5 linked regions of the Tribolium castaneum genome follow. The protein of the gene in region 4 purifies or fractionates together with the protein of the main gene of each other region. This does not show direct contact. Links are inferred from orthologs where the notes say so. Each region holds a gene or a part of one and is shown on either strand. Other genes may lie near its edges.

The links.
Region 1: the proteins of zetaCOP (region 4) and betaCOP fractionate together in Homo sapiens (co-fractionation; 8 studies listed by BioGRID and IntAct, with this or other methods). This does not show direct contact. The link is inferred for Tribolium castaneum from reciprocal best matches to the Homo sapiens genes COPZ1 and COPB1.
Region 2: the proteins of zetaCOP (region 4) and deltaCOP fractionate together in Homo sapiens (co-fractionation; 5 studies listed by BioGRID and IntAct, with this or other methods). This does not show direct contact. The link is inferred for Tribolium castaneum from reciprocal best matches to the Homo sapiens genes COPZ1 and ARCN1.
Region 3: the proteins of zetaCOP (region 4) and epsilonCOP purify together in Homo sapiens (affinity purification with mass spectrometry; 3 studies listed by BioGRID and IntAct, with this or other methods). This does not show direct contact. The link is inferred for Tribolium castaneum from reciprocal best matches to the Homo sapiens genes COPZ1 and COPE.
Region 5: the proteins of zetaCOP (region 4) and beta'COP fractionate together in Homo sapiens (co-fractionation; 6 studies listed by BioGRID and IntAct, with this or other methods). This does not show direct contact. The link is inferred for Tribolium castaneum from reciprocal best matches to the Homo sapiens genes COPZ1 and COPB2.

The regions. Positions count from the first base shown.
Region 1 is NC_087397.1:6,601,367-6,606,660, reverse strand, and holds the end of betaCOP (coatomer subunit beta), read right to left. Parts: coding exon 4,508-5,294; intron 3,114-4,507; coding exon 2,839-3,113; intron 2,788-2,838; coding exon 1,584-2,787; intron 1,539-1,583; coding exon 1,464-1,538; 3' UTR 1,382-1,463; downstream 1-1,381. Other genes in the region: up (troponin T), read left to right, coding at 10-102, 154-234, 493-571, 643-854. UniProt on the Homo sapiens protein: The coatomer is a cytosolic protein complex that binds to dilysine motifs and reversibly associates with Golgi non-clathrin-coated vesicles, which further mediate biosynthetic protein transport from the ER, via the Golgi up to the trans Golgi network.
Region 2 is NC_087394.1:32,201,114-32,208,223, reverse strand, and holds deltaCOP (coatomer subunit delta), read right to left. Parts: upstream 3,838-7,110; 5' UTR 3,685-3,837; coding exon 3,682-3,684; intron 3,573-3,681; coding exon 3,533-3,572; intron 3,475-3,532; coding exon 3,251-3,474; intron 3,193-3,250; coding exon 3,013-3,192; intron 1,628-3,012; coding exon 1,416-1,627; intron 1,369-1,415; coding exon 1,207-1,368; intron 1,158-1,206; coding exon 947-1,157; intron 900-946; coding exon 685-899; intron 636-684; coding exon 431-635; intron 350-430; coding exon 260-349; 3' UTR 93-259; downstream 1-92. Other genes in the region: hfw (protein halfway), read left to right, coding at 5,302-5,349. UniProt on the Homo sapiens protein: Component of the coatomer, a cytosolic protein complex that binds to dilysine motifs and reversibly associates with Golgi non-clathrin-coated vesicles, which further mediate biosynthetic protein transport from the ER, via the Golgi up to the trans Golgi network.
Region 3 is NC_087397.1:2,370,560-2,376,411, forward strand, and holds epsilonCOP (coatomer subunit epsilon), read right to left. Parts: upstream 3,065-5,852; 5' UTR 3,006-3,064; coding exon 2,904-3,005; intron 2,858-2,903; coding exon 2,411-2,857; intron 2,351-2,410; coding exon 2,126-2,350; intron 2,069-2,125; coding exon 1,931-2,068; 3' UTR 1,842-1,930; downstream 1-1,841. Other genes in the region: uncharacterized protein LOC103315197, read left to right, coding at 3,384-4,409; fbp (fructose-1,6-bisphosphatase 1), read right to left, coding at 5,131-5,319, 5,372-5,852. UniProt on the Homo sapiens protein: The coatomer is a cytosolic protein complex that binds to dilysine motifs and reversibly associates with Golgi non-clathrin-coated vesicles, which further mediate biosynthetic protein transport from the ER, via the Golgi up to the trans Golgi network.
Region 4 is NC_087396.1:16,250,721-16,256,680, reverse strand, and holds zetaCOP (coatomer subunit zeta-1), read right to left. Parts: upstream 3,851-5,960; 5' UTR 3,705-3,850; coding exon 3,687-3,704; intron 3,639-3,686; coding exon 3,393-3,638; intron 3,342-3,392; coding exon 3,208-3,341; intron 2,678-3,207; coding exon 2,587-2,677; intron 2,502-2,586; exon of another isoform or gene 2,470-2,501; coding exon 2,422-2,469; 3' UTR 2,391-2,421; downstream 1-2,390. Other genes in the region: Nacalpha (nascent polypeptide-associated complex subunit alpha), read right to left, coding at 1-130; Galphaf (guanine nucleotide-binding protein G(f) subunit alpha), read left to right, coding at 1,108-1,274, 1,325-1,499, 1,548-1,645, 1,691-2,390; zinc transporter foi, read right to left, coding at 4,714-4,934, 4,987-5,509. UniProt on the Homo sapiens protein: The coatomer is a cytosolic protein complex that binds to dilysine motifs and reversibly associates with Golgi non-clathrin-coated vesicles, which further mediate biosynthetic protein transport from the ER, via the Golgi up to the trans Golgi network.
Region 5 is NC_087398.1:12,749,157-12,755,889, forward strand, and holds the end of beta'COP (coatomer subunit beta'), read left to right. Parts: intron 1-1,704; coding exon 1,705-3,916; intron 3,917-3,964; coding exon 3,965-4,076; intron 4,077-4,127; coding exon 4,128-4,163; 3' UTR 4,164-4,279; downstream 4,280-6,733. Other genes in the region: aladin, read left to right, coding at 5,087-5,206, 5,259-6,058, 6,104-6,466, 6,511-6,712. UniProt on the Homo sapiens protein: The coatomer is a cytosolic protein complex that binds to dilysine motifs and reversibly associates with Golgi non-clathrin-coated vesicles, which further mediate biosynthetic protein transport from the ER, via the Golgi up to the trans Golgi network.

The sequences.
Region 1 (5,294 bases), on a different chromosome or scaffold from region 4:
ATTTTACAGCTTAAAGAATTGAAAGAGAGACAAAAGCAGCAACTCAGGCACAAGGCCTTGAAGAAGGGCTTGGACCCCGAGGCTCTCACCGGCAAATACCCCGTACGTGTTATTAATTCTTGTGTTAAGTGTTTGTAATTTTGTGTTTTGTAGCCTAAGATCCAAGTAGCGTCCAAATATGAGCGTCGTGTCGACACCAGATCGTACGACGACAAGAAGAAACTGTTTGAGGGTGTAAGTATTACAAAAGTCAAAAAAAGGACCGATGATTGCGTTGTGACCGTTTCTGTTAGGGCTTTGACCACCTAAACATGGAACTTTTGGAAAAAGTTTGGAAAGAGAAAGTGGGCGAGTTCGAAAGTCGGTCGAGAAGTAAGTGGGCATATCCGTTGTGTTGTGCCCATTTTGCTATTAATCACTTGTCTCGTGTCCTTTTTCTAATCACAAAACTGTACTGTGCCATGTCTGAGTGTGCGTTTTACGTTTTAACAGGGTTACGAAGAAATTACCAAGGAAACCAATGAAAAACTCTGGAAAGACAAAATTGGGCAATTCGATTCGAGGCAAAAATGTAAGAGTTGCTGCTGGTTGCTTATTTGTGCCAATGTGGGCAAGGGCGGGTTCTGAAACGTTGTATTTTAGCCAAACTTCCCAAATGGTTCGGTGAAAGGCCCGGCAAGAAGAAGGGCGATCCTGAGACCCCTGAGGGCGAAGAAGAGGGCAAACACGCCGCCGATGATGATGAAGACATCAAGGAGCCGGTGTTCGAGCCCGAGCCAGAAGAGGAGGAAGAGGAAGAGGAGGTTGAGGTAGAAGAAGAGGAAGAGGACGACGAGGAGGAAGAAGAAGAATAAGCAAGCGAGAACATCGTTTTGTCCCGACGTCCATGATGTACTTTTTATCTTATTTTATTTTCGTTTCCAATAATAAACTGTATTTATAATCAAATAAATATCGTTACATCAAAACTACGGAGGTCTAAAGGTTAGGATACGAAACCACGTTCAAATAAAACGGTCCCGTCCTTGATAGTTTCCTTAGTGCCGCCAGAGAGCGCAGTCGTTCATTATCGTCTGTTTTCTGAGCAATGAATTTTATAAATGATAAAGCATTAAACATAACGCAAAATTTATCGTTATTTATATTTAAAAAAAAAAACTTCTACCAATTTGCACTTTGCCAATATTTTGTAGCGTTTTGAAAAATACGGCACGAAGCGAAAATGTTCTTTTTTTTCTCACGTTTCTTATGAAAATTTCAGTCATTAGTTTTTCTCACAGTGACTTTATTTTAGAATAATACAGTTTTTCTCAGAATTGGTTGAATTTAAATTAATTTAAAGAGTTGGCGCTGAGACGGTATAAGTACTCTATTTTTTGGATTCAGAAAAAGCGAGTTTTCCGTAATCAAAGCCATTTTTTCAAATAAACTTTATTAATATTAATACGACCATAAAATACAAATTATGCAGCGATAACTTTACTCTGTTGCCCCTTCTGTGTCATATTGATCTTGTCACCCAAACTCAGAGCCATCCCCTGCAACAACAAACTCAGCTGTGATTCACACTCAGTGCTACCAACCTGACTCTTGGCCCTGATCCTGATATGTCCAGTAACGGGTGCATCAGGTTTGTTGAACGGTTTTTCAATACTCAAATTAGCGAGAGCGTCCTCTCCAAAGATTGATTTTGCGTACATATTGGCGGCCATGAAACCGCACTGCCCTGACAGGGCCTTCTCCGGAGTCAAACACTTCATGTTGGTGCTTTTGATCAAGTGCTTCAAATATTCCGCAAGGTCGGTTAAGGTCGTATTAACCGAAACCTTATTCTCCCACTCGAACTCGGCCCACATTTGCCTGAACTCCGAGTCGCTACAAGTGGCCGGGACTATGTAATCCATAATATCAATATGGATGTCGTCCAGGACCACCACGTTTCGGTCGGACGCTGCTCCCGTGACGTCATAAACTATGTTCCCGAAAATAATCCCGTTTTCGGTCGAGGCCACTTTCACGTTGGCCTTAATGTTGCAGAAGTCTTTGGGCGCCAGAACCACCGGCTGCGGTTTTTCCACGAGTTTCAAATCGCCGAGAGTTGCCAACTCAAGGGTGCAGTTTTGTAACGTATCGTTGGTCTGGTTGACTATCAAAACGTCCAAAACAATATCATACTGGTTGACATGGACGTAGGCTTCGGCATACACCGGGTCTGAAAAGCCGGTCAATTGAGTCACTTTGTTCAGCTTGTTAACCCCAGTGCTTGTGTCACTGCCGCCGACTCGGCCCCCAACCAAGGCTTGTGACAAGGACGTTTCGAAGACGTTTTCACCCAATTCGCCCGACTTGTCGGCTTGTAATTGCATAAAATTGATCGGATCGTCGGCTTGTATGACATTACCAGCCTTTTCTTTCGCTTTCTGATTGAGTGCTTCTTCAATTTCTTTGGCGACTAACATGTCGTTAAGTGCCTGTCGGCACAAGTCGGTAAAAACCTTGATAATGCTCGGCTGCCGGTCCGAAAGCACCCGCAAGCAGAATAAAACGTGGTCCTTATCATCATTGGTCATGGCCTTAGTTGGCAAACCCGACTTCCCCAAGTGAATAATCCCGGCCATGATCATCATAACTTCGGCATCAAACCGATTCCTTTCAACCGCATTTTTAACCGAACTGCCGTACCTTAGAGCCAGTTTGGTCAAAGTTGAGGCGATCGCAGCCCCGATAAAGAAATCGCCGTCGATTAGATACTGGCGAAGTGGGGGCCGCTTCTCTTTTGTGCTTTTCCTAAAGCTTGATTTACAAACCGGGCTTTTCTCTCGACAAATGACTACTTACTGAACCGTGTTGAAGGCTGATTGGGTGGCGTAAGTTCCGTCAGAAGTGACGAGGGTGCTGGAAGCTTGTGTTGGGTTCGGTTGGGTGACTTCTTCCGAATCTCCGGCCACTAGACGTTGCTCCGCTTCCAGAAGGGGGCCCTCGCCTAGGGTTTGGTTGATGGCTTTAAGTACGGACTGGATGTCGGCCACAGTTGTTGCGTATTCGCCTAAAATCCAAAGGGCGGCTCGGTGGATTTTCACCGATTTTATGTTGGGGAAAGCTTCGAGGAGTTTCTGGAAAATATTTTTTTAAGACAAACACTCGGGCATCATTGAATCTTTTTTTCACATATATAAATTTTTGTAATAATGTTAATAAATGATTAAAATTTAAAATTATTGGTTTCTTATTACGTGATTGTGGATTGTTTTACCAATAGTTTTTGCTCCCATAAACCAAGAAACGCAAAATAGTTCAATTTTAAAGAGACGTTGCGTTAACATTCTAAGGGCAACGAAACTAAAATCTTTCTTCATTAAATAATTAAATTTATTAAAATTAATTTAATTAATTATATCTTGGCCCCAAACTGTCGCTGGGATAATTTTCACCATATCACAAAATTTTGGTCTCACAATTAAAATTTAAAAGTAAACCGTCAAAGATAAAAATATGGAAAAAGGTATAAGGAAGCAAAGTTTTCTCATTTTTTCGGCGTTTTTCACAAGAATATGAGCGTAAGGTGAAGTAAATAATACCGATTGTTTGCTGTCATTTTGTGTCGCAGTGGCCATAATTTTTATTAACAATGTTTTTCGGCATAGCAATGCTTTTTTGATTTAACCAGCTTCTTATACATGTTTGAATATGTCATATAATATGACTTTTCTTTTTTACTCGTAGTAATAAAACGCTCAGATACAGTGAAATTTAATAAAGCTTTATAACAATATTTAATAATTTTTTCAGAAACCTAACGTGATGAAGTACATAAGAGACACGTATTAAATATCAGAAAAAAATCATGTTTATTATAATAAGTAAATCAACCAAGTCGAAGTTCACCAATTGCTCTAAATTGGAATGAGTCCAAAAATCCAAAGTGGTTGTTTTCTCAAACAGGCCAATCACAATGCGTATTAATACTTACGTTAATTAATAATTTTTTTGCTTCTACTCATCGCATTGGAAATGACGTAAGACGAAAGCATCATCTTTCATAAAAAAAATCGACCGAAATGTGACCCAGATATTTTAATTAGATGACCTTTTCATGATTTTCATTCATAAAATATGGACGCACTAGTAATATTGTTCGTATTTTTTCTTTTTTAAAAAATTGTGACTTGATTTATGTCACGACAGAACTCAAATCAATGATTATACGGAAAAGAAAAATTTAAATTCGATTATTTCTTGCAGTTTATATAGAAATAAATGCGTAATCATTAATCAAGTGTGCGTCATTTTCGATATTTGACGCTCCAATGATTAAACACATTCAGATAATAATAAAACAAAATTAATAATCAAACGAAATGCATAGCAAAACGTTTGATTACCGACAATTGAGATCTTACAAATAATCTAATCAAATAACCATGAAATAACCCAAACAACCGTTCTTAATCGAGAGTTGACTTACGTCAAACGTCCAATTTTTCAAATTTTCAAAGAATTTTCTTACCTCAATGATGAGCGGCTGCAAATTATCGAATTTCTGAATCGCCTCTCTGACGAAGATCAGAACATCAACGGCTGCAAGCTCATTTGTATCAGATAAGAATTCGACCAAAACTGGAATAACAGTTGCTGCAACATCCGGAAATCGAATACAACAAGAATGCAAAGTCCGGACTAGCAACTGTCTATATTTTCCGGTATCTTCATGCTCAACATCGTGCGTTTTCGCAACTTCTTTCTTCAAAACCAAGACCATTTCTTCGATATTTCGCGACGAAACCAAATCCATCGCCAGATTAAGAGTCTTTTTGCGCACCTCCAAATCAGGACTCGACAAAACCCTCAAAATATCCATAACCAAGTCTTGAAGAACCCTTTCGTGAGTTGGGTGGTCTTTGAGAGCGATCAGACGGTCCAAAACAATGAGCTTGACATTGTTGTCGCTTTCCTTGATTATGAGCTCAATGTAGCAACTGGCGGCCGCTTTAATCGCCGTGGGGGCTGTGGAGAGCGTGACCAAAGTCCCCGCAGCCTCATACCGCACAGCGGGGCTGCTCGAATTGAGCAAATTGTAAATACAGCGGATGAACCTGGACCGTTCAGACGGATTGCTGTGGCAAACTTTGTAAATCAATTCGACAATAACCAACTGGAGGATGTCCCCGAAGGAGGTCACTTGGTCCAAGCACGAGGCCAAATAGCTCAAGGCGCGCTCCTGATCTGCGTGGAGCAGCATGAGGAAAGCGTTCCGCTTACACGACATGTCTTGCTCCCCGTCCAAGTAATTCGAA
Region 2 (7,110 bases), on a different chromosome or scaffold from region 4:
GTGTAGTTCATAATTGATTTGTGATTAACTATTATTTAATAAAATTTTATTCAAGCAAGTCTTTTTTTATTTGGCGGGAATGAAACAACGGGTTATAAATATACTCCTGACTTATTTTATTTATATAATAGATAAAAATTAAAACAAACTTCTTAAAATTTTGTACAAAAAGCAAGAACGAATAAAATATTAGTAGTATTTATACAAGTGAATTTTATTATTATATAATTTCATTAACTATCGTAACCTACTGTGACACTTACACTATCTCATATTTGTCGGGAAACAAGCTAGTTTCAACAGAATACTTAACAGGAGAATCATCGTCCACCATTAATACATCAAGAATCTGAAACGAGAAAACGTCTTTAAAACCACGACCTATTACTAACGCACTCGCCGTGCTGGTGACGTAAACAGGAAAACTCACCTTAATATTTGCGTAAGCAGATTTCGAACTAAAAGAAACTGTCACCGGGAAAAAGTCGTTAGGAATAGATCGGGGCGCACTAAATTCCAACGATCCAGTTTTATTGCTTGAATCTATAATAGGTAGATTCCATATTAGCTGGTTACGTCTTGACTCATGCGTGTATGAGCCATCACATTCGCCCACAACCGGGTTACAACCCATCCTAAAATAATACATCAATAAAATACTGGGATCACATTTTATGAACGTACGGTAACGGAATCAAAATATTGACATCAGCCAGCTCTAAATTCGGATCGGCAAGTTCGTACTCGATATTGATGTCGCAACTGCCATCGCCCACTTCCGACGGCCAACAGTTGATCAAGAGAGGCACTAAACTCTCATCTGTGCTTTGCAATCGCCATTTCAGGACACCGACGTCTGTGTGCAACGGGAATGGTTTGGATGGTTGTTTGAGCCCAATCTAAATTAACGAAATTAATCAACAATAATTTTTTGGTTTGTTTGTACTTGGGAACGCAGTTTGAAAAGTTCCTTGTCTACATTGGGGTGAGTTTGGAGCTGGATGCCACGCGTGTCTTTATTTTCCAACTGGACACGAATTCGCCCCCACTTTTCGTCCCCAATGTGCAGTGTCACCAACCCCAACAACTCGAATTGTTGCACACCGCCGTCACGGCCCATTCGAACGATTAGTTTTTCCTCCAGTCTCAAGTGAACACTGGAAATAATTCAAGTCACTTTCTACTCTATTCTGTTTATTTTCTTACTCATTAATATCGGACTTGATCGCTGGTGTTTTCATTCCCCCTTGTGAAATACTGTTATTAACTGGTGCAATGACATTTTCGCCTTCGGATTTAAGCTGGTCTACGAAAGACTCAACGTCGTGGCCTTTGCCACCCAGTTTCATTCCTCGAGTCGAAGGTTTCCTATTAAATCAATTTAAAAAAAAATTTTTTGGATGTTTTTAACATACTGAGGAGCGGAGGAATAAGCTGGTGGTTTGATATCGTTTGAAATATTGGCAACATCGCCGACTGAAGGGGCTGGAGTATAACCAGATGAGCTACCAAAGCCTCCACTGCTACCAAATGATGGTTTGACGCCCTTTTTGTTGGCTTCCATTCGCTGGCGTTGCAATTCTTTAGCTTTCTCACGCATTTTGTTTTTAGCTTCGCGTTCTTGTGTCTAAAGAGGAGTCAGTTCGTAAATCAGAAATTACATTGGTTTCGAATCTATACAAACAGCATGCCTTAATTCAATTATAGGAAAGGGCTCTAAAAGAAATATTATGCTTTCTATCAAATGTTAGATGTCTCATGTCTTCTGTTTCTATTTTATTCGCCCTAAGACCTCCGTGAGGAGGTTTAAAAGTGCAGAAATATCGGAAATGGCTTTCTATGCCCAAGCTAAACATTCTGTCTGAATAAGATGTTTTTCCTTTCGTGAAACTTTAAATCTTGAATTTATTGTAAATAAAAGCAATTTAAAAATTTAATAACGCTTGTCTTTAAGTTTTCATAGTTTTTAAACCAGTGGATAAATAAGTGGGTCGTAAAAAATTCAAAAACTACACATACAAAAAAATAAACATTTTCTTTAATCACACTGCTAGTAGTTTTTCCAAAAAGTAAATAGTTTAAGCAAAAAAAAACACGTTAGATTTCATTCTCTTTATTCACCTGGTAGGTATATCAACAAGTTATACAAACAATAGCATAGTCTCTTTATGTTGATGTGAAACGGAATATTATTATGGTATTATAAGAACTCTAGATTTTACAGCAATTCTTTTTATGTTCATTATACCATTATTAATTTTCAACATAAAATCCATCAGGGTAACAAAAAAAAATAGTGAGACAGGTATTAGCGATGAATTCGTTCACTTAAACGTTAGAACAGCTGATCAGTGATCACTTACCAAATTAACTGTTAAATTAACTTTTAACAGCAAATTAATTTTTATTTCACCTTCTACTGGGTCACTATGAAATAATGTGTCGAAAAATTTATTATATCTGATTTTATACCTCAAATAAAAATTTAAAATTGGGAGGAATTTTACTTAACATCTTAAAAAATTTATTGGCAATACTGAGTTATTTGCTTTATTACCAAAATTACTTTAAGAGCTGTGACTAACACAAAATCTTTGAAAACTTGTCATTTTGTTTATTTCTTTCAAACCGCTTTCATTTAAGACAGAATCCAAAATCTTACCGGGAAATATACTGAGTTACATGGTTAAAAATTAAAAGTCAGTATTGCCATCTGAAATTACAACTTCTTGGCTTTAATAATTTTTAACCAAAAAATTCCCTTTTTTTGTCACTGATGACAGAATCCAAAACCTTAACCAGAAATATACTTCAGTTACATTGTTTAAAATTAGAATTCAGTATTGCCAACTGGAATTACGACTTTTTGGCATTACAATTTCTAGAACTGTTGTTAATTTATTTTCTGTGAGGCAATCTAATCATGAAATAGCAAATTTGAAATAATAGCCGTGTCCGTTGTTGTACAAACTTTGATAATAAATGATTTTACCAGTTTAGCAATTTTATTACCTGTCTGACGGCCTGATAGACCCGCTCTTCGTGTGAATCCATCTCGACAAATGTGCGAATTTGGCTCAAATTGACGCTTTCCCTGTACCCAAGAGCAACAATCTCATCAAACGCAAAAATGAGGGAAAATGCGTTTTCCGCAATTTCATTTTCTTCCAATGAGCGGCAATATTCGGGAATCTAAAATAATGACAATGTGAGGATGTTTTTGTGGCTTCCATGGGTCTGGACAGCTTACCACTTTCGCAAACAACCTCAGAGTTTCTAAATCTTCCAAAATGTTGCTAGCTCTTGTGGTAATCAGGAGCATGTAAAGGCGCTCAAGTGGCTGATATACATATCGGACCGAGTCGGTCTCTACAAAGGTGTGTTGTGTTCCTGTTGGGATAAGTTTGGGGAAAGCCGCCAGGAGACCCTCAATGCGGGCTTTGGTCATCTCAACAAACTGCCGAGAGACTATGGCTGGAAAGGCAGAGAAAGGTTGCAACACATGGTTCGGTGGTTTATGTGGGGTACTTACTTTTACCGGCCTTAGTGCAGACCGCCGCTGCTATGAGCACCTGAAATCATATGTTATAACGTGAGAAAATGCGTAAAATGGCAACTTGGAAATTTTAAATTGGAATTGTGAAAGGTTGGATTTGTGTGGTGTGTGAAAGATTATCTCACCATTTTAGAGACTGTGAAAGGTCTGTTGCTGTTATGTTCCTAAAAACTAAAATAATATTTTACAAAACATTACACCCTATTAATTTTTTAAGATGACGTTGACTTGTGCTTGCTGTTGAATGAGAAAAACAGTGACGTGACCGTATTCAGTCAGCCAACCTTACGCCGATTCACTGCACCAGCTCTAGGCGCAAAATTCGAAAATGCTCCAGTTTCTACTCATAAGTTACTTAAAATCAAACTAAATAAGTCAATAACTGCTCTATTTTTATATTTTTTGTTGCTTCAGCTATTTAGTAATTTGTTCCTACTAAAATATAGCAATACAGGAATGTGAAAAAAAGCAAAAAAAAACGTAATTATTTTAGAAATAAACCAGATAATAAATTGTATCTAACTAAAAAAAAATATTTTCGGTTTTTTATTATCCACTATGGCCTAAGAATATTTCAGCAAACTAAATTGTCTTAATAGATTATAGTAAATTATGATATTGTAAAGATATGTATCTGAACAAATTGATTGAATATCAAAAAAAAATTGCGGCCTAGAATTACAAGTTATTTTTATTTCTAAGGTGGGTGGTTTGGGTTATTTGAGTATTAAGTATAGCTAGTGCAATAAAAATGATTAAATAAAATATCGTGATTAAATTGCAAGTATTTTGAAAATTTAAATTTTTTTTAATATCAAACATTCCAAAATTTTTATCTTGGCTACCAGATCACGAAAATATAGGCCAGAGTTATTTTTTATTACATTCTGATTAATAAGTAAAAAATTTTAACCATTCTTTGTCTATCATAAAGTCATAAGATAAGGCTATGAAAAAAACATAGTATTTTCCTGTATGCTACTGCAAATGTTAATTAAAGATAGAAAACAATACAAAAATGCCACAGTAAAGTGTCAAATTTCAAAAATTTAAGATTAGAATAATATTAACGTGTGTTAGTCTGACTTTTGTGCGATATATTATATTATTTTCTCATTTTTTAAAGGTAATCAATGGTAATCAAAAAAATTGTAAATGTGAGAAAAATAAACAACAATAATTTTTTATTAACACAATAATTTGTCGGATATTGTTATTCATTCGTTTACTTAATTTTTTACACTTTAGGTACGAGTATTAGCAAGAAGCTTTTAATTACTTTAAGCTGATATAATCAACAAATATAATCAGCCAGCACGATTAACTGTTATTTATTATCTACCTGTAAACCATTATTAATAGTGCGTTTGGTAAATATCTCAAACTAAATAATTACTTTACTTTATTACTCTTCTTTCGATTGGCTCTTGAATTTTCCTTCAGTTTGCACATCTTGTTGAGCAATTATTTGCTGGCATTTTTCTGACGCAAGTGTGTTTCAGTTCGATATTTTCCAATACCCCGATTAGTTTGAAAATTATCGTTTAGGTGGTTACAGTGTATTCAAAAATTTGTACATAGACTGCACTGAAAACTGTAAATCCATCATAGGAATGTGTTAAAATTGATGATTAGGTACTGAGTTTGAAGCATTTTTTATTTCATGAATAAAACATTGGTGGTAGAGGATTTATAATTTGTTTGTCTCATCAAGAAATCAATATGTTTGTCAATTGACATGAATAATGTGCAGTCACAAGCTCACAAGACTACTGTTACTACACATCAGTTTAGTGAGTGTTTTTTTTTTAATCATACTTTACTTTAATAATCAACAAATGTTCCTTTTTTTGTATAAGTGATTTAAGCAACAGAACAATAGAATAGATAAAAGTGTAAAATAATCAATACAAAAATAAGGGTAGGAGTGAAAGGACTGAAAATGGGTGGTTCTAAATTTTGAAAAATAATCTACCAGCAATATAGAGCGAGTATTGGTGGTCATATAAGCGTGTTCTAAAAGTAGAGTGTGAGGAAATATTCAAAATATTTGATTTTCCTTGAATGGGGTCTTTTGAAATGGAGTAATGGAAGTTTGTTTGAGGTGTGGGCAGCGAGTTTCATTGATCCAATTACTGAATAAAGTTTAATTAACAATAATAATTGGGAGTAAAGAGTGGAGAACAAATAGATGGCGCCTTGATATCAACATTAGTAGTTTACTATATTTATCTGTTATTATGTTCATTTTATGTTCACGTTTCCGTGTGCCTCATCAAGGCCGTACCAAGGCCATAGCAAAAGCTATAGTAGTGTGTTATGTTTAGGTTAATTCTGTTAAAAACATCTCGTCCCATAGTGTCTTTGTGTAACTTTGTAGTAAAGGCTTAAAACAGTTCTATGGCCAAAGAATAATGTGTACCGTTGATTGTGTTCCTCTACCTGAGTGAAAAGGTATGTTTCATTGCATCTTCCTCTCTGACACTTAAGTACTATATGGCTAAGTACTAAGTGCTCTTACTATTGTTTACAAGTTGCCTATATCCTGTATCAAAGCAAATTGCTTTTTCCTGTGGAAGCAATTGACACATTTTAATGTGTTCAAAATTAGATTTGTATGTGCACCCAATCTAAATATAAATTTCTGTTGATAAATTAAAATTACGACGTAATAATTGCAAACCTATGCATGTATTTTTATCGTCATTCCGCAACGTGTGTTTCTTGCATTGTTTTCACTGACTGTTATAGCGATATTTAATTGATTTATGTGATTGTTATGAAATAATTTTGTCCGCAACAATGTTAATAAAATTGTATGTGAATGTAATGTTAATTCTAGTGTTATAACTAATATTTTTTATTGATGTGTGGACTTATAATTAACGTAAGTGAATTAATAATAATAATTACAGTACTTATATTTATTAAAAAAGTAGAAATAATATCCCAGTTGACCGTAAAATCTTAAAAATTATGCGCACCTACGTCGCATGTTCTTTGGCCATTAAAGACAGCTCCTTGTAATTTATCACAATCAATAAATGGTGTAATTCGTACTACTTGTTGCTTGTAAGCAACAAGAATATTTATCAAAATATTCACCTGTTGAGAATGCGATACTAGTGGTTATCACTGCGGGAATTTCCAAAAAGTGTGAGTTCGAATCCCGATCGGCTCAATTTTTTTTTACATATTTGATACAGTATGTTGTCTAGTATTTTAATTTAGGTGTTTTATTAAGATTCACACCCACGTATAATTGGGTAAACTATATTTAAGATCCATATTTGAGTAGTTTGAAGAGTTGTTTTATTCTATCTTTACTACTCGTATAATAAATATTTATAAGCATCATAATAACAAACAATTAGTACAATGAGCTCTAAAAAAAACTACCATAAAAGATAGTAACGGACAATAGAGATGTAACCGTAAAAATCGTATTAAATTAACAGTACTCGTAATTACTATGTACATAGTATTTTCAAATTTGCTTTTTGCAAAAATGTGAGTTAGGTAGGAATTTTACATCCAAGCCTTTTATTAGATCG
Region 3 (5,852 bases), on a different chromosome or scaffold from region 4:
CTGCATGTGGGAACGGGATTCACCTGATAATCGGAATATATACGGCTCAAGCACCTCCTTGCACTCCCCTTTTTCAAACAGCAAGAACACAGCTATTTGTGATTTTTTGGAAAATGCATAAAATCTCAAATATCGTATGTTATGTTTGGGGAAAATAGCAAACGTGTTTTAAGAAGATATTAGATTAGGTAGGAAATATGGGAGGCGAAATAGAAAATGACGTACATTTTAATTTAAACGTCTGCAAGTAAGACACATTTATCATATTAAAGGTTAATTTATATTTGCTCAGTAAACCTCTGCGAGGTGTTTCGGGGAAATGCTGGCGACCATCAAGATGTCGCTAAGTTTCCTCACAATTTGCTTATTAATATTTGCCAGCACTAAACAGTTTAGCATGTAAATCACATCGTACTGCGAGCTTGAATATTCATATTAAACGCACTTCGCATACACACTGCCATATTTGCATGTCTATTGTTCCAATTAAGCAATAAATTTAATTAATCGCGCTCGGAAAAATGGAAAAGAAGATTAATCGTTTCGATTAGAAAAGCCGCGCTAATTTTCCGGCCGATCAAAGATCAGGTGAACCAACACGTGAGTTTTTCCGGGATGTCTTTCGCCGTGAATTGTAAAAAATTGGAGGCGTGGATCAAGTCAGAAGAGCGACGCTGTGACAAATCGAGTCATCTGCTTGGAGACAGCTGAACCCCTCGACTTCATCTGTTTTCATCTTCTGTGCTACTCTTGGTTTCATGGATTGCTTATTTTCTACTTCCTGCCATAATTTATGTATGAGCTCAAATGGTCTTGAATTTCAAATTAAACTAAGTGCGCTTTTTCAATTTTACGCCGACGGAACACGCCCCAAGTGCACTTTTTTCGCCCAAAGCGGACGATTAGCCCATTCATCCCAAAATGCCGCCTCACCAAACACGAAAATTATTAAAGACAAATGATTGGCATTTTCGAAACAGAAATTAAAATACGAGCAATTAAAAGATTATGGCATTTTTTTCCATTTCATAAGTAGTTATGTGTTAGACAGTACAAAACAGAATTTAAATTTAAATTTTGAAGTTTTAAATTTTGAAAATGATAAACTAGGGCTCCGTATAGTTATGTCGGTTCAGCTACTACTTTGAGACTTGGTTTAATTTTATTTTTTTCGAAGATTAAACAAAGATTTGACTAAAAACGCGTTTAAATCCTCACAACTTGCAAAAATAATCTCATTTTTCACATAATTCTGTGATTTATTGGCTTACTTTTTTAAAAAATTTGCGAGTTTTTGCTGAATAAACGCTTAGAAAAGGTAAATTCTTGGTCATTTTCGACCAAATTTGGTGACTGTTGTGTTCTAGTTTAATAAAAATAAGGAAAAAAGATTATTTTCGGTTTAAAATTCTCAAAACTTGCAAAAATAATGTCCTTTTTGACATAATTATGTGGTTTATTGGCTTACTTTTTAAGAAATTTGTTGAAAAAATCACCAATTTGAGTTTTATGGTGTACCAAACATTTAACAATAAATTCAACATTGGAATATTTAAGACGGTTATTGCTTGCAGAAAATGGAAATTAATTGTCTTATAGTTTAAAATGATGCCAAAAACAAAAAAGTAAGTACACATTTTTTCTATTTTGTACTTTGTAGCCGTATTTGGAACTTTCTTTTGCAATAACTGTTGTCACCGAATATTTTAATACTCCTGACTTATTTCAATTTTTTTAGTCATTTTTTTTTAATATCAACGGTTTCGGATTGTTTTGGGAAAAAACGAATTACGTTTATGGAATGTGGATGTATCATTGGGTTTAAATCAATAAAAACTATAATTGATTATGGGCTTTATTTTTCATGTAATACAATTAACTTAAACGTTATATAATTTTTTTACAGCAAATAATAACTTTTTCACACATTTTACGTCGGAATGGTTGAAACTGAAGGACCATACTGTTTACAAATCCTTGAAAATTCACTTTCTTTCTGTTTTAAGTCTCTAATGTATGGATGATCTGGTTGAGCGTCTTTCAACTGAGACAAATACCTACTTGCAATCTAAAACAAAGAAAATAATTAACAAAAAATGTTACAAACAATTTGACAATCAATTACTTCAGGCGTTTTCCCTGTATGTTTATGTAAAACGATAAGATTGATCAAAGTGTCTGGATAATTAGCATCTTTGTCTAAAGCCTCCTGTAGAGCAGCTTCCGCCTCCTCATACTTCCCCTGACCTAGAAGAGCCACAGCTTGGCCATTAAGCAGCAAAGGTGTAGCCCCATATTTTTCAACCAATTCCTGATAGATATAATAGGCGTCTTGCAGCTTTTCCCCACCCTGTAAAAAATATTTAACAACACAAATTAGTGGTTAATTATTAATAATTTTGCGACCTACACTCGCGTTATTGACCCACGCCTGTGCCAACTGCGTTAACGTGGCATCGTCGTCCTTCTCCTGCATTTCCTTCAACTTCTTCCTGGCCAAATCAACGCGATCAATCTTCAGCAAAATATCAATAATAAAAGCCAAAGCCTCCAAGCTTTCAGACGCGTGCAAAACGCGGTATGCCGTCTCTAGATTGTTCTGATTAACGTATATTGTCGCGGCCACAAGTGCAAGAGTGTCACTTTCGACGTTGGAGGCCAGCTTCTGGTCTATTTGGGCGACAATAGACTCGCGTTTTTGTTTGGAGGATAAATATTCAGCCAGGAGTCTTAAGGGCTGGATTTCCTCGGGTGAGGACGGCTTGATTTCGTCCAGCACTACCAGGAATTTGTTCTGGGCCATGTATGAGCGGTAGGTGAAAATGTCGCGTTGGATGGCCACCTCGGGGGTCGAGGGCTGGAAAAAATATTGAGCAAGCTAATTATGGAAAAGTGGTAAAAACCTTGCGCAGTTTTTGTGCCTCATTTATGCACTGCTGATAATTTCCAATGTAGTAGAAGTTTTTTATTTCAAATAATTCGTCGTCGTGTTGCTGACGCGACATCTTGAACGTCAAACTGACAGAAACTTAACCTTAAATGGGAACGAACTGGGCTTTTATGCTGTGTATATTGGCGGCCTTGCTGCTTAATAATTCGGAAATTCGTCAAACAAACGTACACAAAAATAAATTTTTTACTAAACTTAAGCTTCCTCCCAACTTGTGTGTCAATTAAAATAAAAAAACAGTTAAAAAACGTCTGTTTTTAATAAAAAAATCGTCCGTCTGGTGATTTATTTTTCTGACGTTGGTCGTGGTCAATTAAAGTTACTGGTCTTTAGTTTAAAAAAGTCGTGTTTTTGAAGCTTATTTGTTCTTTGTAAGATACAATTTGTTAAGTATAATCTTCACTTTTGAATAATTTTATTGTTTTAGCACAGAATGGCGTCATTCTCTGTGATAAATTTGCAAGGTTACGAAGCCATAATCCACGAGAAACTTTTCGCAAACATTAAGCAATTAACTTATGTTTATCCACCAACCCAAGACTTCCATGAGGTTTTCAGGGAAGATATGTTTAAAAAAAATAACAAGGCAGCCTTCCAACAAGTCACCAACTACCTTTTCAATGTCCTAAGTCCTGAGTTGACCAGAGAAAAGCTCAAATCCTGGCCCCCATACGACACCAAAGGAGAGCGAGAGTTTAGACAAGAGGTGGTGGCATTTGTTGATTACTTGAATGAAAATTACAAAGCGGCGAACATTCCTAAGCTAATGCCATCTCTTTTTGTTTCACCTGGTGGCATAAAGGTGGCCAAATTCATGTTTAAATTGTCGACGTTCGTCTTGCATGAGCATTTAAAAAAGAACATGAAAGAGGGCAAATTATTGTCTCCCATCAGACCTTGTAAAAATCCAGCCGTTAATGCAATAATTATAGAAAACTTGAATAGAACAACGTCAGTTATAAAAAAAAGAACGTCAGAAACTGCCACCAACTTCCACAAATTCTCGGCAGAGGCATTTGCAGAAGCCCAGCGAATTGTGGAGCAAGTGGAGAGGATTAAAAGACAGGAAATGGCCGAAGTCACCAAGGCGTTAGACGAAGAGAAAAAGAAAAATCTCGAATCAATTGATTTGGAAAAGTTGCAAGGAAAAATGGCACAAATGGAAAATATTAAAAGCATGTGTGAGAGAGCAAACGAGCTCCTGGATGTCATAATGAATGATAATCAACTGGAACTTGATAAAGAAAATACTCCCGACTTGGATTTGCTGCAGTTGTTCAATGATTTAAATGAGTTCCTTGAAAAGGAACGTTTCCAAATACCAACTTTGTTACAGGAAGATATGAAAGATATGGTTCAACGCTTGTCAGAGCTCACAGAAAACTACAAACAACTTATCATTAATATGGAGCACGACAAGAAGGAACTCGAAAAATTGGCAGAAAATTCTGTTATCTAATAAAGATTGAAATTACTTTACATTTTTTGTACCATAATAATAAAAATAAATTTTTTGTATTACCTTTGTACTCGTTTTATTCAATCTTATTACATAGCAGGATGTGCAGAGAATAAAAACAAGTTTTCCGTGCAGTTATTCTCATTTAATTTGTTTTCCAAAGTCAAGGACGGGATTTATAAATACCTTTATTAGATGTAATTGTTTATTGTTGAAGGAAATTGAAAATCCATTAATTGCTGTAAACTTTGCAACAAAAATTATTCAATAAAATATAATTTAATCCAGCTCAAGACCAAAGTTAAAATCTCCAAATTATGTAAGCGGTCTTAAAAAATATTTATACATTTACATACATTCTGCTTTAATGGTCGATAGAAAAGACTTATCAACTGTAATTTCGTAAAACTATTAAAGATGCTGTAACTTTGATGTCACCGAGTATTTTAATTCCGGAACTGGCTCTCAAAGTCCAGCCGGGATTTATTGCATCTTGTGTACAAACACGTATCAGATTGATAAAAACAAACTAGTAATTTAACATCAATTATAGTCTTATTGTTACATAATGCAATTAGAGAATAGTTGTTAAAAAGTGTTTTGCATTTAATAAGAGTCATAAAACACTCACGTAATAAACATGCAACTGCGCCCAAGAAATAAACACCAATTAACTGTAATAAACAAAATTTATTAAAAAATCCAATGAGTATCAAAACATTTATTTCGAGTGCTTCTTAATAACGGCCAGAACCTCCTCCACATCCTCCTTCGAGCCCAGAAAAATGGGACACCTCTGGTGCAAGCTCGTGGGTTGCACGTCCAAAATGGGGATTTTCCCGTTGGAAGCCAACCCACCCGCTTGTGTCATAATAAACGCCATGGGAATGCATTCGTACAACAACCGCAACTGTAACCAAAATTCACAAATTTACCCCAATAACTGTGCTCATGCACGTCACCTTTCCATTGGGGGAATCCCTGGTCGCTGGGTAAATGAAAATGCCGCCGTATTTAATCGTCCGGTGCACATCGGCGACCATGGACCCCACATATCGCGCATTATACGGCTTCCCCTTCGATGGGTCCTTCTTGTTACTGACGTATTCCTTGACCGCGTCGTCCCATTGATGGGTGTAGCCCTCGTTGATGGCGTAGATTTTGCCCCGTTTGGGAATCGTCATGTTCTTATCAGTGAGGATGAACTCGCCCACGGACGGGTCCAGCATGAACCCGTGGACGCCGTTCCCCACGGAGATCACCATCATGGTCGCGCTGCCGTAGAGCGCGTACCCTGCAGCTACCACCTGGTTGCCCGGCTGGAGGGCGTCCTTCACCGACGGGATCGAATTGTCCGTTTTTTTCATTATTGCGAAAATTGAACCGATTGAGACGAGGCAATCGATGTTGGAGGAGCCGTCCAGCGGGTCAAAAGCCACGATG
Region 4 (5,960 bases):
CGCTGTTGGCAGCCCCTGCGTCTTCCAGCTCAGGAATTTCATCTTCAGATTCACTGTCTGTGGACGAAGCGCTTTGTTCCGGCTTGGTTTCGGGAACAACCGGTTTTTCTACTTCCGTCATTTCAGGCATTCTGTTTTATGTTCTGAAAAACATGAACAATGTGCAAATTGCATAATCAAAACAAAAATTCAAACGCATTTCGGTGAACTAAGGTTATCGGTATAAAGAGTGATAATTCGACGAATGTTGCCCAAAAAAGGAGAATTGTGTAACCACAGATGCATTTTATAGTGTTTTCTTGATAAATTAGCGGAAGATGGTTGAAATAAATCGAGAAACTTACCGGAAAACCGAAGGAAAGTCAATTCCCTGCTAAAAATCGAAACAAGAGAGGGTGGGGAAGTTTGGGAACTGCGTTATCGGCAGGCGCGCTTTAAAAATGACCGCCAAACTAGTTTAATTTTTATTGCAAAATTGTTGCTGCACAAGTAGGTGCATTAAAATATAGATTCTAAATTAAACAGTACAATGAACTACAGAATTTAATACAGAACTGGGGTGTGAACTATGTTTGGGAAAACCTAAATAAAACATAAGCAAAAAGTTATTTTAGTAGCCTTAATTATTACATGTTATCATTATCATTAGTAATAAACGCATAAGATCAATTACAAAAATTTTATTTGACAAATAAATTTAACGGTTGCCTCCTGGAGATCGTTTTGTGATTTTTAATTTGCCTTATTTGGCAACAAGCACTTGTCTTTAAATCATTATCAGCTTTATTACTGATTGTTTAAAGATTAACCCTTTTTACAAAACCTTATCAATATTTTGTTGAGACAACTTTTGTCGCAGACTTTCAAAATCAAATATTTTATCAAATATTTTATGTAATTCCAGCTTTTATTCACTATCTCTGCCACAACCAAAGTACTTATTTATAAAAACCATTGATTTTATTAACATATTATTATTTTTTAATCTGATGTATGATGGAAGTGTTTCTTAAAAAGTAGATAAGATTAAGTAATTTGAAGGGAACTTCAGATAAAGTATAATCACGTATCCACCCAGGTATGCGAAAACCTGGTTAAAAAATAAAAATGTTTGGTTGTGGGCGTCCCAAAAATAGAGAAAACGATGAAGAAAGAGAACATGACAGACGTTTCAAAAGATCGACCAAATTACTACTTTTGGGTACAGGTGAATCTGGAAAAACTACAATCATTAAACAAATGAAAATTTTGCACATTAATGGATTTTCAACCGAGTGAGTATTTCTTTTTTTGTCAAGAGTAAGTCCAAAAAATTAAAATGTAGAGAAAAGAAACAAAAAATTCCATACATCAAGCAAAATATTCACGAGTCTATCTATGATATTGTTTACAACATGGATAAAATTAATCCTCCTGTAAAACTGGAGAAGAGCGGAAATGAAGAATGCGCCAAATTTATTTTAGATTTGGGGCCAGAAGAACTAGAGGAATACACTGAGGTACAATTTGAACTAATAATTGAATAATTATTGCATATTTTTTAATAGGAATATTTTGATAACGTGAAGAGCCTTTGGAACGATCAAGGAGTGCAAAAAACGTTCGAGCGCTCAAACGAATACCAGTTAATAGACAGCGCCCAACAGTAAGTGTTTAGGTGAAAAGAAACGGTTTCTTAAATAAATAACAGTTTCTTAGACCGTATTGACGAAATTAGGAAGCCGGACTACATCCCCTCAACTCAAGACATTCTGTTTTGCCGAATTCGCACCACTTCCATTTCGGAGATTGAGTTCAGCGTCCCAGTCCCTAAAACATACGGGGGCGGAAGCGCCAATTTCCTCATGTACGATGTAGGGGGCCAGCGAGGGGAACGCCGCAAATGGATACAAGTTTTCGACGGAATTGACGCAATTTTATTCATAATCGCAGCGAGTGACTTCGATCAAACACTACGAGAAGATGAATCGAAAAATCGGCTTGAGGAAGCTTTGTCCGTTTTCAGAGACATGTGTGGAAGCCGGTTTTTACGAAAGGCTGGAATGATTGTTTTTCTCAACAAACAGGACCTCTTCCAGAGGAAAATAGAGCACGGGAGAAAATTGGAAAAGTACTTCCCCGAGTACAAAAATTTTAATAAAACTCTGGGTTCTGCGGTGGATAATGCGAAAGCCTTCCTCGAGGAGAAGATAACACAAATGTCGAAAATACAAGTAACAGTGAAAAATTATAATCCAATTACAAAAACAGTAACTGAGGAGAAGCTGCCCCCTAGGGATATTTATATCCACCACACTATCGCTACAGACACTCAGAATGTTAAAAAAGTGTTTGATAGTGTCCACGAAATGATAATTAAGGAAAGTGTAAAAAACATTGCTAGTTACTAATACAAATTTATTACAAGTTTACACAAATACTTTACTTAAGCAAAGACCACTTGAGTTGCTCTTTGGCCGACTGTATTACCTATAAATAAACGTATTTGTTATTACATATTACATATTTATAATTAATTTTTCCTCATACACTTAGCATAACATGACAAAAGCTTCACCAAAAAATTGAATGGACTGCATTAGTTACCTGAGCTACAGTTTGCTCTCCCAAGGGAATATCGTCGTTCCTGAGAGCCACTCGCGACACAACTGAATTTGAATCAGCGTCAATAATAATACTGAAATACAAAAATATGTAAATAACTTACATTGTAAAGGTTAAAAAAAATTACATAATGAAGAAAGTATCCCCTCACCTACAGCAGGTACACCCTATATTTTGTGCATTTTTGCATATACTACATAGTTGTTAATTAGTACATTAAGCTAAGTTTTTGAAATAATTTGTGGAAACAAAACATCTTTTATTAATAATTAGAAAAAAAACTACATCATAAAACACAACAGGCAATATTAATTTACAGACATACATTTGTTTAAGGCTTAATTTCTGGTACGATTAAACTTTTAGCTGAATTTGGAATGGTCGATGTGTATTGTATAAACTCTAGCTATACTGGAAGTTAAGAAGTTTCTAATGTATGCCTTAATAGAATCACCCTCTGGATTACGGTTATTTGTTGTCAGAGCAAAATGAATTAGTAAAACAAAAATGCAACAATAAAACAGATGGAGCCACATTGGGGTACGTTCCCAGGAACAGCCAGTGAAGGGAAACTTCTTCATTAATCCAATATGTGTAACTCACCCCCCATCACAAATTTCATCCATAGCCAACATGACTATATCAAGTGAGTCCAAAACGGCCCTCTTTTCGACGTTTTTGCGCAAAATCTGACTAACAGAGTCATAGAGACAGTTTAAAACGCTCATTAGAATTAACTGAAACGATTTATAATTAACAAAAAATAAATAAAGTACTGAAAAACTTACTTCATTTTCGTGCGAACTACCCATAACATAAAAAAATAAATCAACATTGCTGCGATAAACACAAGTTAGACCATCTAACATGATTATTTCAGCGTTAGCTCTGTGTGTCTTATTGAAGAGATTTTTCTCAAAGGCTCTCTGTTCCTTAGCCGTGGGAAAAACGTTTTTATCGTAATATTTAGCCAAAATACGGTTGCCGTCATTGTCGAGGATTGCAATTCCTTTAACCATGTACAACGTAGGCTCCTGTAAAAACGGGTACTGTGGGCCCCCACAAATAAAACTCGCACATACCAACAGTGTTCCTTCCATTTTTCTCGACTTGTGGCAATTAATTAACGTAACAAATTGTAGCTTATTTCATTAAATTGCAAAATACTGGCAAAATCAGGCTTATTTTGATTTTTGTACGTGTCTAAAATTTGACAATTGACAGAAGATGGGAATTTGGTTTGTGATGTTGGTATTTGTCTGTCATTTGTCAAGTGAAAATTTGAAAATTGTTATTTTGATCATTTTGATTTTAAAATACGACAAAATGGACCAAACAATATGTCCCACAACGCAGCAAAACATTTTCCTGTTTGAGTCATACAGCCGTAACACCCAGTGGCAGGAAAATGAAGGATGGCTGTATAATGAGTCCGTTGCAGAAAAGTGTATTCAGGAATTTAGAAATGAGTTTCCTGGGGCCACTTTTAGCGATGACATGTTACGAGAATACGTGCCCCAATTGGTTGATCGGCTTCGAGCAACTGGTAGTATTAGAGAACCGGAATTACCCAACTTGGAAATTTTTCTAACCCCCGAAAAAGTACAACAAATTAGAGCTGTCCTCGAAAAGGACCCAAACATGCCCCCGAGGAAATTGTCTAAGGTCGTAGGTATGGAAAACATTCCGTGTTTACAATTTGAGACTAATTTGTTTAATTACCAGGCCTACCTGCGGCGACTTGTAAAGCGGTCATGAAAAAACTGAAAAAATAAAAGTATAATTAGTTTTGTAAGGTAATCAATAATTATCTAAAGTTTAAGTTTAACTAATAATGTAGTAACTGTTTTCTTTTCTACGTTTATAATTTTGTTGGAAGAAATAAAATCCTGTTCATATTTAAATAAATTTTATTGTTTTGCGTACCAATACTGGTCATTACATGTGGGTTTACATAATATAGGTAAGTCTTAATCAATACTAATACCTAAGTAGCAGCACAAGGAAGAAGGGGGATGATTGTAAAAAAAACAAGTCTTTGCAGTAAACACGCAGTATCAAAAACCAGATAAAATAAAAAACAGCCAATAGAAACGAATTATAAAGTCATTATTCCCTAAACATATTCTTAAGATCATGTTCAAACAACGCAATCAGCGTCATAATCCCAAACCCTAATAACAGCCCACTCAAATGCAATATGCACTGAATCAAATTCCCTTCATCTTCATGTGCCGAGCTCAACTCTGGTATCATATCCACCAGCGCAATATAAATAAACGTTCCAGCCGCCACTGCGAACACCCAAGAACTGGCAACTTCCGTATTCCCTAAAATTCCAAATATTGAAATAAAAAAAAAACAATATACCACCAAACTAACCTAAATAAACTCCCAGCAAATTCCCCAACACGCACAAGATGCTTGAAATAATGTTATAAAACAGCGCCTGTTTGATACTCATGCCGGCCTTGAGCAGCATGGCGAAGTCGCCCACCTCATGGGGCAACTCGTGGCAGAAGACAGCCACGGCGGTGGAAAACCCCCCAGCGGCACTCCCCGAAAACGCAGCCCCTATCGCCATACCATCAGTGAAGTTGTGGAGACCATCACCCATAATCACCATCCATGCAACCGACGAGAAGTTCTGGGGGGCGGCATGGACGTGCCCATGGAGATGGGAGTGGCCATGGTGGACAGCCCCGTGCTCGGTTATAATAACGGTGTAATCGGCCTCGGGTTCCTCGTGAGGAGCCATTTCGATGTGTGGGAGCATCTTGTTGATTTCGGTGCAGTTGTTCGAGGTGTTGAGGTCGTTGGGACACTCGGTTAGGTTCTGGTTGGTTTCACCGTTCTCGCAGTCTTTGGATATCGCGGTTTCGGACGAGTCGCCCTTGGCCGCTTGCTAAATATGTTTTGAGTTATTATGTTAAGCACAATTTTTGTTTATAAAATTGGTATAAAATACAATGGAATCCGGTTATAACCATTGGTTATACAGGCTGTCTTAAAGTTAGTGTAGGTATTCCCCGAGTTCAGAAGATTGTAGAGAATCACTTCACTTGTACAAATACAGAAACTAAATAAAGACTCGGGACTTCCCCACAAAGATACATAGTTCGAAAGTGCACTTTAGGACTTTAGGTGCATTTTGAATTGCTTTTTTTTCAAATGCAGGCTAAAAATTTCAGTGTTTATTTTTAATCATGGTATAAATGATTTTGGAAAACACTAATGCGATACAATTTCTTGAAAAATCTTTAATTTTTGTAATTTGTCTTAAAAACAAAACGTCAAATTATAAAAATGTCTGAACCATATTTACGTTTTCATTTCGTAGGGGCAGAAATCCTTTA
Region 5 (6,733 bases), on a different chromosome or scaffold from region 4:
TCTTCTAAATTTTGGCGTGAACTTCGCGAAAACATCTGAGAATTTTTGTCATGTTTTGATAAACTTAGTCATTGTCACTTCCCAGTAAACATTTTTTAGGTCATAAACATTACTGAAATCAATGTTTTGTTAAATGAAACATTTGACCTTTGAGCATAGTTTGTTAATGAAACGTCTGGGAAACAACAAATATTTTCTTCTTGATATGATTCACTAGAAACATTTCATTGAAATTTCTATGGTATATTTCACTCACTTTCAGGATGGTATAAGAAACATTTAAACAATATCATGTTGTAGAACTAAAATATATTATTTATATAAAAAACAGAAACAAATATAATTTCAACAAAACAAAATATATAAAAAATTCATTGTGACAAATATTTTTTCTTTATGAATTGTTGTCGTGCCTGCACATAATGATTTCGAATGAGGTGGTTGTATTTTGATAATTCCGCATGTTTTACATGTTATAGGCGATTATTGTGATATTGTTATATCACTTCGGTCTCATTATTATTGTTACGTGATTCCAAGTTTTTAAAAATAGCGATTATTGTAGTTATTGTAGACTAAAAAAAAGATTTATGTAAATCATCTAACAATACATGTTTCGTGTTTATTGGGTGAACAGTCAAAAACCATTTGATCTAAATATTGGACCAAATGCTTGATAAGCGGTTATGACGTCATAATTTCAGCCTTAAATCGAAATAACTTGAGTTAGAGAGCAGATACAGAGGAACGGTTTTCACTGTTGTAATAAGTGCTTTCAGTACTATTATTTATAATAAAGTTGTTTTTTAACTTGCCAATGTCTTTTTTGCTGAAAACAATGAATATTCAGTTTGATATACAAAGAACATAATTATTTTTCTTTTAACGGCACATCTTCTAAATTTAAATTCTTGATATTTTTAATTCATATTCTACATTCTACGATCAATTTTTGAAGGGCACTGTTAAGAGAAGGCTCGTTTAGTACCAAGAAATCATGCAGTTTTTGACGGCATTGGAAATAGTTTCTATTTTCATATATTTTCCATAATATGTAGTTCGAGCATTGAATCATTGCTCCATTTCTGTTATTAACTTTCAAAGTATGTGTTGTTAATTTTCATGAAATATTCATTTCATTCAAAATGGAAAAAATATTAGTGAGATATGTCACGTTGCATCCAATTTTTGTCGTCTGCAAGTTGATGTTATATGTTTGTTCAATTTATTTAGATAAACGGTAAATAACTTCACATTTCTTTGAATGTTAAACTTTGACACCTTCCTTTAACTGTCCGTAAAAGTAAGAGTAATCCGTAAGAGTATTGATTTTTTTTTCTGTGTAATCTAAAAGCCTATCTCATTGCAATGTTCAGTTGTATTAGGGCAATCTGATTTATTTTTTACGTGATTGGAGCACAGTTTGAAGGTTCGTGGTGTCTGTACATATAAACACTGATACCCAGAATGAAACCTGATCGGTGTGTGAAACTATTAGATGATCACCGAATTTACTGTTTTAATTTACCAATTTTTCAAACGCGAGGAAATCTGACACTTTTCCATGTGTTCACAATTTTAATTTATATTTTGATAGAATGTACAATCGTTTTTGTTGCCCCGGTCGCTACATTAGTATATCCACTGGCTTTGAATAATTTTACACTTGCTATTGTATTACAATGCGAAATATGAAACCTCTAGATGACATGCTTATCAAATTATGGAACTGGGAGAAAGCCTGGGCCTGTCAACAAGTCTTCGAAGGCCACTCTCACTACGTAATGCAAATCGCAATCAACCCCAAAGACAACAACACGTTCGTAAGCGCGTCCCTCGACCGCACATTGAAAGTGTGGCAACTGGGTGCTTCCACCCCCAATTTCACGCTCGAAGGCCACGAGAAGGGGGTCAATTGCGTCGATTATTACCACGGGGGCGACAAACCCTACATCATTTCAGGCGCCGACGACCGTCTTGTCAAAATCTGGGACTACCAGAACAAAACATGCGTCCAAACCCTCGAAGGCCACACTCAAAACATCAGCTCGGTGTGTTTCCACCCTGAACTCCCAATCGTCCTGACAGGGAGCGAAGACGGCACTGTCAAAGTCTGGCACGCTAACACACACCGTCTTGAAAGTAGCCTCAACTACGGCTTCGAACGCGTTTGGACGATTTGCTGCCTCAAAGGCTCAAACAACGTAGTTTTCGGGTATGATGAGGGCAGTATTTTGGTCAAAATCGGGCGAGAGGAGCCGGCAGTTAGCATGGACGCCACTGGGGGCAAAATAATCTGGGCCAGACATTCGGAGCTGCAGCAAGCCAATCTGAAGGCTTTGCCCGAGGGGGCCGAGGTCAGAGACGGGGAGCGGCTCCCAGTGGCTGTGAAAGACATGGGGGCCTGCGAGATCTACCCCCAGACGATCCAACACAACCCCAACGGCCGGTTTGTTGTTGTGTGCGGCGATGGGGAGTATATTATTTACACGGCGATGGCGTTGCGGAACAAGGCCTTTGGGGCGGCTCAGGAGTTCGTTTGGGCGCAAGATTCGAGCGAATATGCGATTAGGGAAGCGGGGTCTACGGTCCGTATTTATAAAAACTTCAAAGAGAAGAAGAATTTTAAACCGGATTTTGGGGCCGAAGGGATTTTCGGGGGGTGGTTACTTGGGGTTAAGTCAGTGGCGGGGTTGACGTTCTACGATTGGGATAGTTTGGATTTAATCCGAAGGATTGAAATCCAGCCAAGGGCGATCTACTGGTCCGATAACGGCAAATTGGTGTGTCTTGCGACCGAAGATAGTTATTATATCTTATCGTACGATTCGGACCAAGTCCAGAAGGCTAAGGACGAGGGACAGGTGGCTGAGGACGGGGTTGAGTCAGCGTTTGAGGTCCTGGGGGAAGTGAACGAGACAGTTCGGACGGGGTTGTGGGTCGGCGATTGTTTCATTTACACGAATGCCGTCAACCGAATTAATTATTTCGTTGGGGGTGAGCTTGTAACCATAGCTCACTTGGACCGGCCTTTGTACGTCCTCGGCTATGTCCCGCGTGACGATCGGCTCTACCTCGCTGATAAGGAGTTAGGGGTTGTCAGTTATCAGTTATTATTGTCGGTACTCGAGTATCAAACTGCAGTAATGCGTCGTGACTTTACCACAGCCGATAGAGTATTACCCTCGATTCCGAAGGAACACCGGACTCGAGTGGCCCACTTTTTGGAAAAACAAGGCTTCAAAAAACAGGCCCTTGCTGTGAGCACGGACCCCGAACACAAATTCGAACTAGCCTTAGCCTTGGAGGACTTAAACACCGCTCGAACTCTGGCCCAAGAAGCGAACAATCCGCAAAAGTGGAGCCAATTGGGTGAATTAGCCGCTTCGACTAACAACCTCCAACTAGCCAAGGAGTGCATGCAAAGGGCGCAGGACTATGGGGGCCTCCTTCTCCTGGCTACGAGTTCCGGTGACGAAAAACTTGTGAAAACACTGGGCGAAAATACACACTCTGAAGGCAAACACAACTTGGCTTTCTTGTCGTTTTTCCTTTTGGGAGATTTGGACAAGTGTCTGGAGATTTTGATTTCGACGGGGCGTTTGCCCGAAGCCGCGTTTTTCGCTAGGTCGTACTTGCCCGATAAGATATCCGAAGTTGTGTCCTTGTGGAAGGCGAAGTTGTCGACGACGAATGAAAAGGCGGGGCAGAGTTTAGCCGATCCGAAGGATTACGAAAATTTGTTCCCGGGTTTGAATGATGCGATTGCTGCTCAACATTTTTATAGTATGGGGAGGAAAGGGTTACCGTTGGCCAAAGATGCGAAGAAAATTACGCCGAATCATGAGAGAAATGTTGTGCAAGAGATGAAGGCGCAAGGGGGCGAAGGGTTCAGTGTGCCAGTGGCGCAGACTAGGTTGGTTGGGGGGTTGTTGGTAGTTTTTGAGTTAATTTTGGTTTTTAGCCAACCGGTTCAGAGTGAAATGAAAGCGCCGCCCAGATTGCAGCAAGAGGATGAAGATGATCTTGATCTGGATTTGGAGGGAGTTAACATTGATGATAATATAGACACCACGGTAAGAGACATTCTTTACGTCTGAGGTTTAATATTGACAGTTTTTTTTTAGGATATCAATATTGATGATGATTTGTTAAGTGATTAATAAGGATAATTATCCAATACTAATATTTAATCCGAGATTTAATCGTTAATGTTTTTTATTGTCAAGTATTTTATGTAGGTATTCCATAAGAATTAAAGTTACATACAGTTTCTCAATGGGTCTTTATTTTTTATTTATTAATTAATGATGACTATTACTTAGGAGACGAAACATAAGACAAAATTGCTTCTGAACCCAAAAAATAGTACGCAGAGTATTATACCGTCTCGACGTCAAATTGTTTTAAATGAATTTAAATCCAACCAATTCTTTAATTACTTGAAAAAAAATTGAGAAATGTTGAGCTTTGCGCTATTATCAGCCTAAGAAAAACTGACGACTAAAATCTTCATAAGAAACATGAGAAAATAGTTATTTATAATACGAGTGAGAAAACACAAGCTTTAAGTTTGAGAGCTGCATACCTAGACACCCGAGAAGTTTAAGCGTTTTCGGAAGTGTTATTAATTTTTTTGCTGGTACATTTTAATTTAAAACACGTTGCTTAAGCGTGTTTTAAAATAGTGAAAACATTGATTTAAAACACGTTGTTTATAATCTAGGATTCAAATATTAAAAAGAAGGCTTAAACTGTTACCAACCAAAAAAAAAAACATTTATTTGAGTGCTTTAATAACCGCGTGTTTTTTAAGTTTTTAATGTTGGTCACTGAGTTTGAGCGACTTTTTACCGAAGCAGCTTAACTTCGAAAACTTTAAAAATAAATAATTTGCGTCGTATTTTTGCAACAATTACTCAATTCAATTAAATCATTTGTAGAGTTAATAAAAATTATGCCAATTTAATTGTGCGTTGCCAAACGTGATCCAAAATTGAGTTCGCGGGTATCGGACTTTGAGCAACTTACACTTGCTTTTGACAGTTGGTGGTTGAGTTTGAAAACCGGTAAAAAGTGAACGAAAATGAGAAATTTGGAAGATTTCCCGGTTCCCATCGACGGCGAGGTGACTTTATGTGAGATAAACGGCCGAATGCAATGCATGAATCACGAATTTGCCAACGTTTCAACCTTCACGACTGCTGTAACGTTTCCAGAGGTTAGAGCCACCAGAAGCTGTGATTTGTGCGTTTCAGGTTGACAAACACCCGAAGGTGCACATAACTCGTGATTTGCTGCATCTGCCGAACTTGGGGGACGAGGGTCGGGCGTTGTTTTTGCCGACTGATGTGCCGTTTTTGAAACAACTCACACAGGTGTACGCTGAGCAGGGCTTGAAGGAAGTTTTACATACCGCCACTTTGCATCAACATTTGTTAATATCACAGAGCGCCCGCTTTTTGTTGGCAGTCTGGCGGTATTTGCGTAAGGCGAGGTTGATTCTAAACCCGAGTTTGGAGTACCACAGTTGTGAATTGATAGATGAGTTGAGCCAAACGAGAAATTGGGCTAATAACACGATCAAATGCATTGCGTGGCATTTGCACAATTCGCGACTAGCTGTGGCGACGTGTGACGACAGCGTTAGAATTTACTGTAATGATAGTAGTTTTGTTCCCTTGCTGAGGTGTAAGCAGCAAAGGAATGTGACGTGTTTGGCCTGGAGGCCCATGTCTTTGACGGAAATTGCAGTAGGGCATGAAAATGGCATTATAATATGGCACGTTGATTTCAACTCATTGGTGACTAGGCCTTCAGTAAGCAACAGTATTATGTTACAAAGGGTGGACCACAAACCCGTCATGAGTCTAGCCTGGAGCCCCCGAGGCAATCTCTTAGTCAGTGCCGCAGCCCTGGACTCAAACATCCTCGTCTGGGACGTTGAATTGAACAAAACCAGTGTTTTGAAAGGTTCCAGAGACTCGGGAAATATTCTACTGAAATGGTCTCCAGCCAAAGACAAATTATTGAGTGTTTCGAACGGAATCGTATTTAGGTGCGAATTATCGCTTCGATTTTTTTTTAATAAAATTATTTGAAGGATTTGGGATTGCCAGCACTGGGAAAACGAGCGTTGGACGGTGCCTTCAGGCCGCGTCCAAGCAGCTTGTTGGACGAGTTGTGGCACAAGTTTGCTCTTTGCCACAAGTACAGAGCCAGTTATTTATGGACTGAACATGAAAAGTGACCATGTGTTTAGCAGCAATTCCGAGAGTTCTATTGACCACGCTGTGCCTTTATTTGACCTCTCTAAAATTGATTTGGAGGGAATTGCAGTTGGCGGGATTGTTCAGTCAATGGAAGCTGATCCAAAAGGAAACCACTTGGCTGTGTTTTTTAAAGATACGAGTTGTGTTGCGCTTTTTAGTGTAATAAAGTCGCCACTACTCCAGCTAATACCAAGGTGAAATGATTGATTTTGTGAGCGAAAATAATTTGTTTTTGCAGCTCGTTGATTGTCGGTTTGGCTGCTGAGGTGCCAAGTACAATAGCGTTTCAATATAATTTCAAACCTGGAGCTTGTCTGTCCATTGCCTGGTCTAGTGGACACCTCCAACACTTCCCAATTATTTACACTGATTTGACCAATGACTTCAATGCAAGCCAGTATGTCCAGTCTCAAATCAGGTCTTTAAATAACTCTAGATAATGTTTTCTAACGAATTGTATT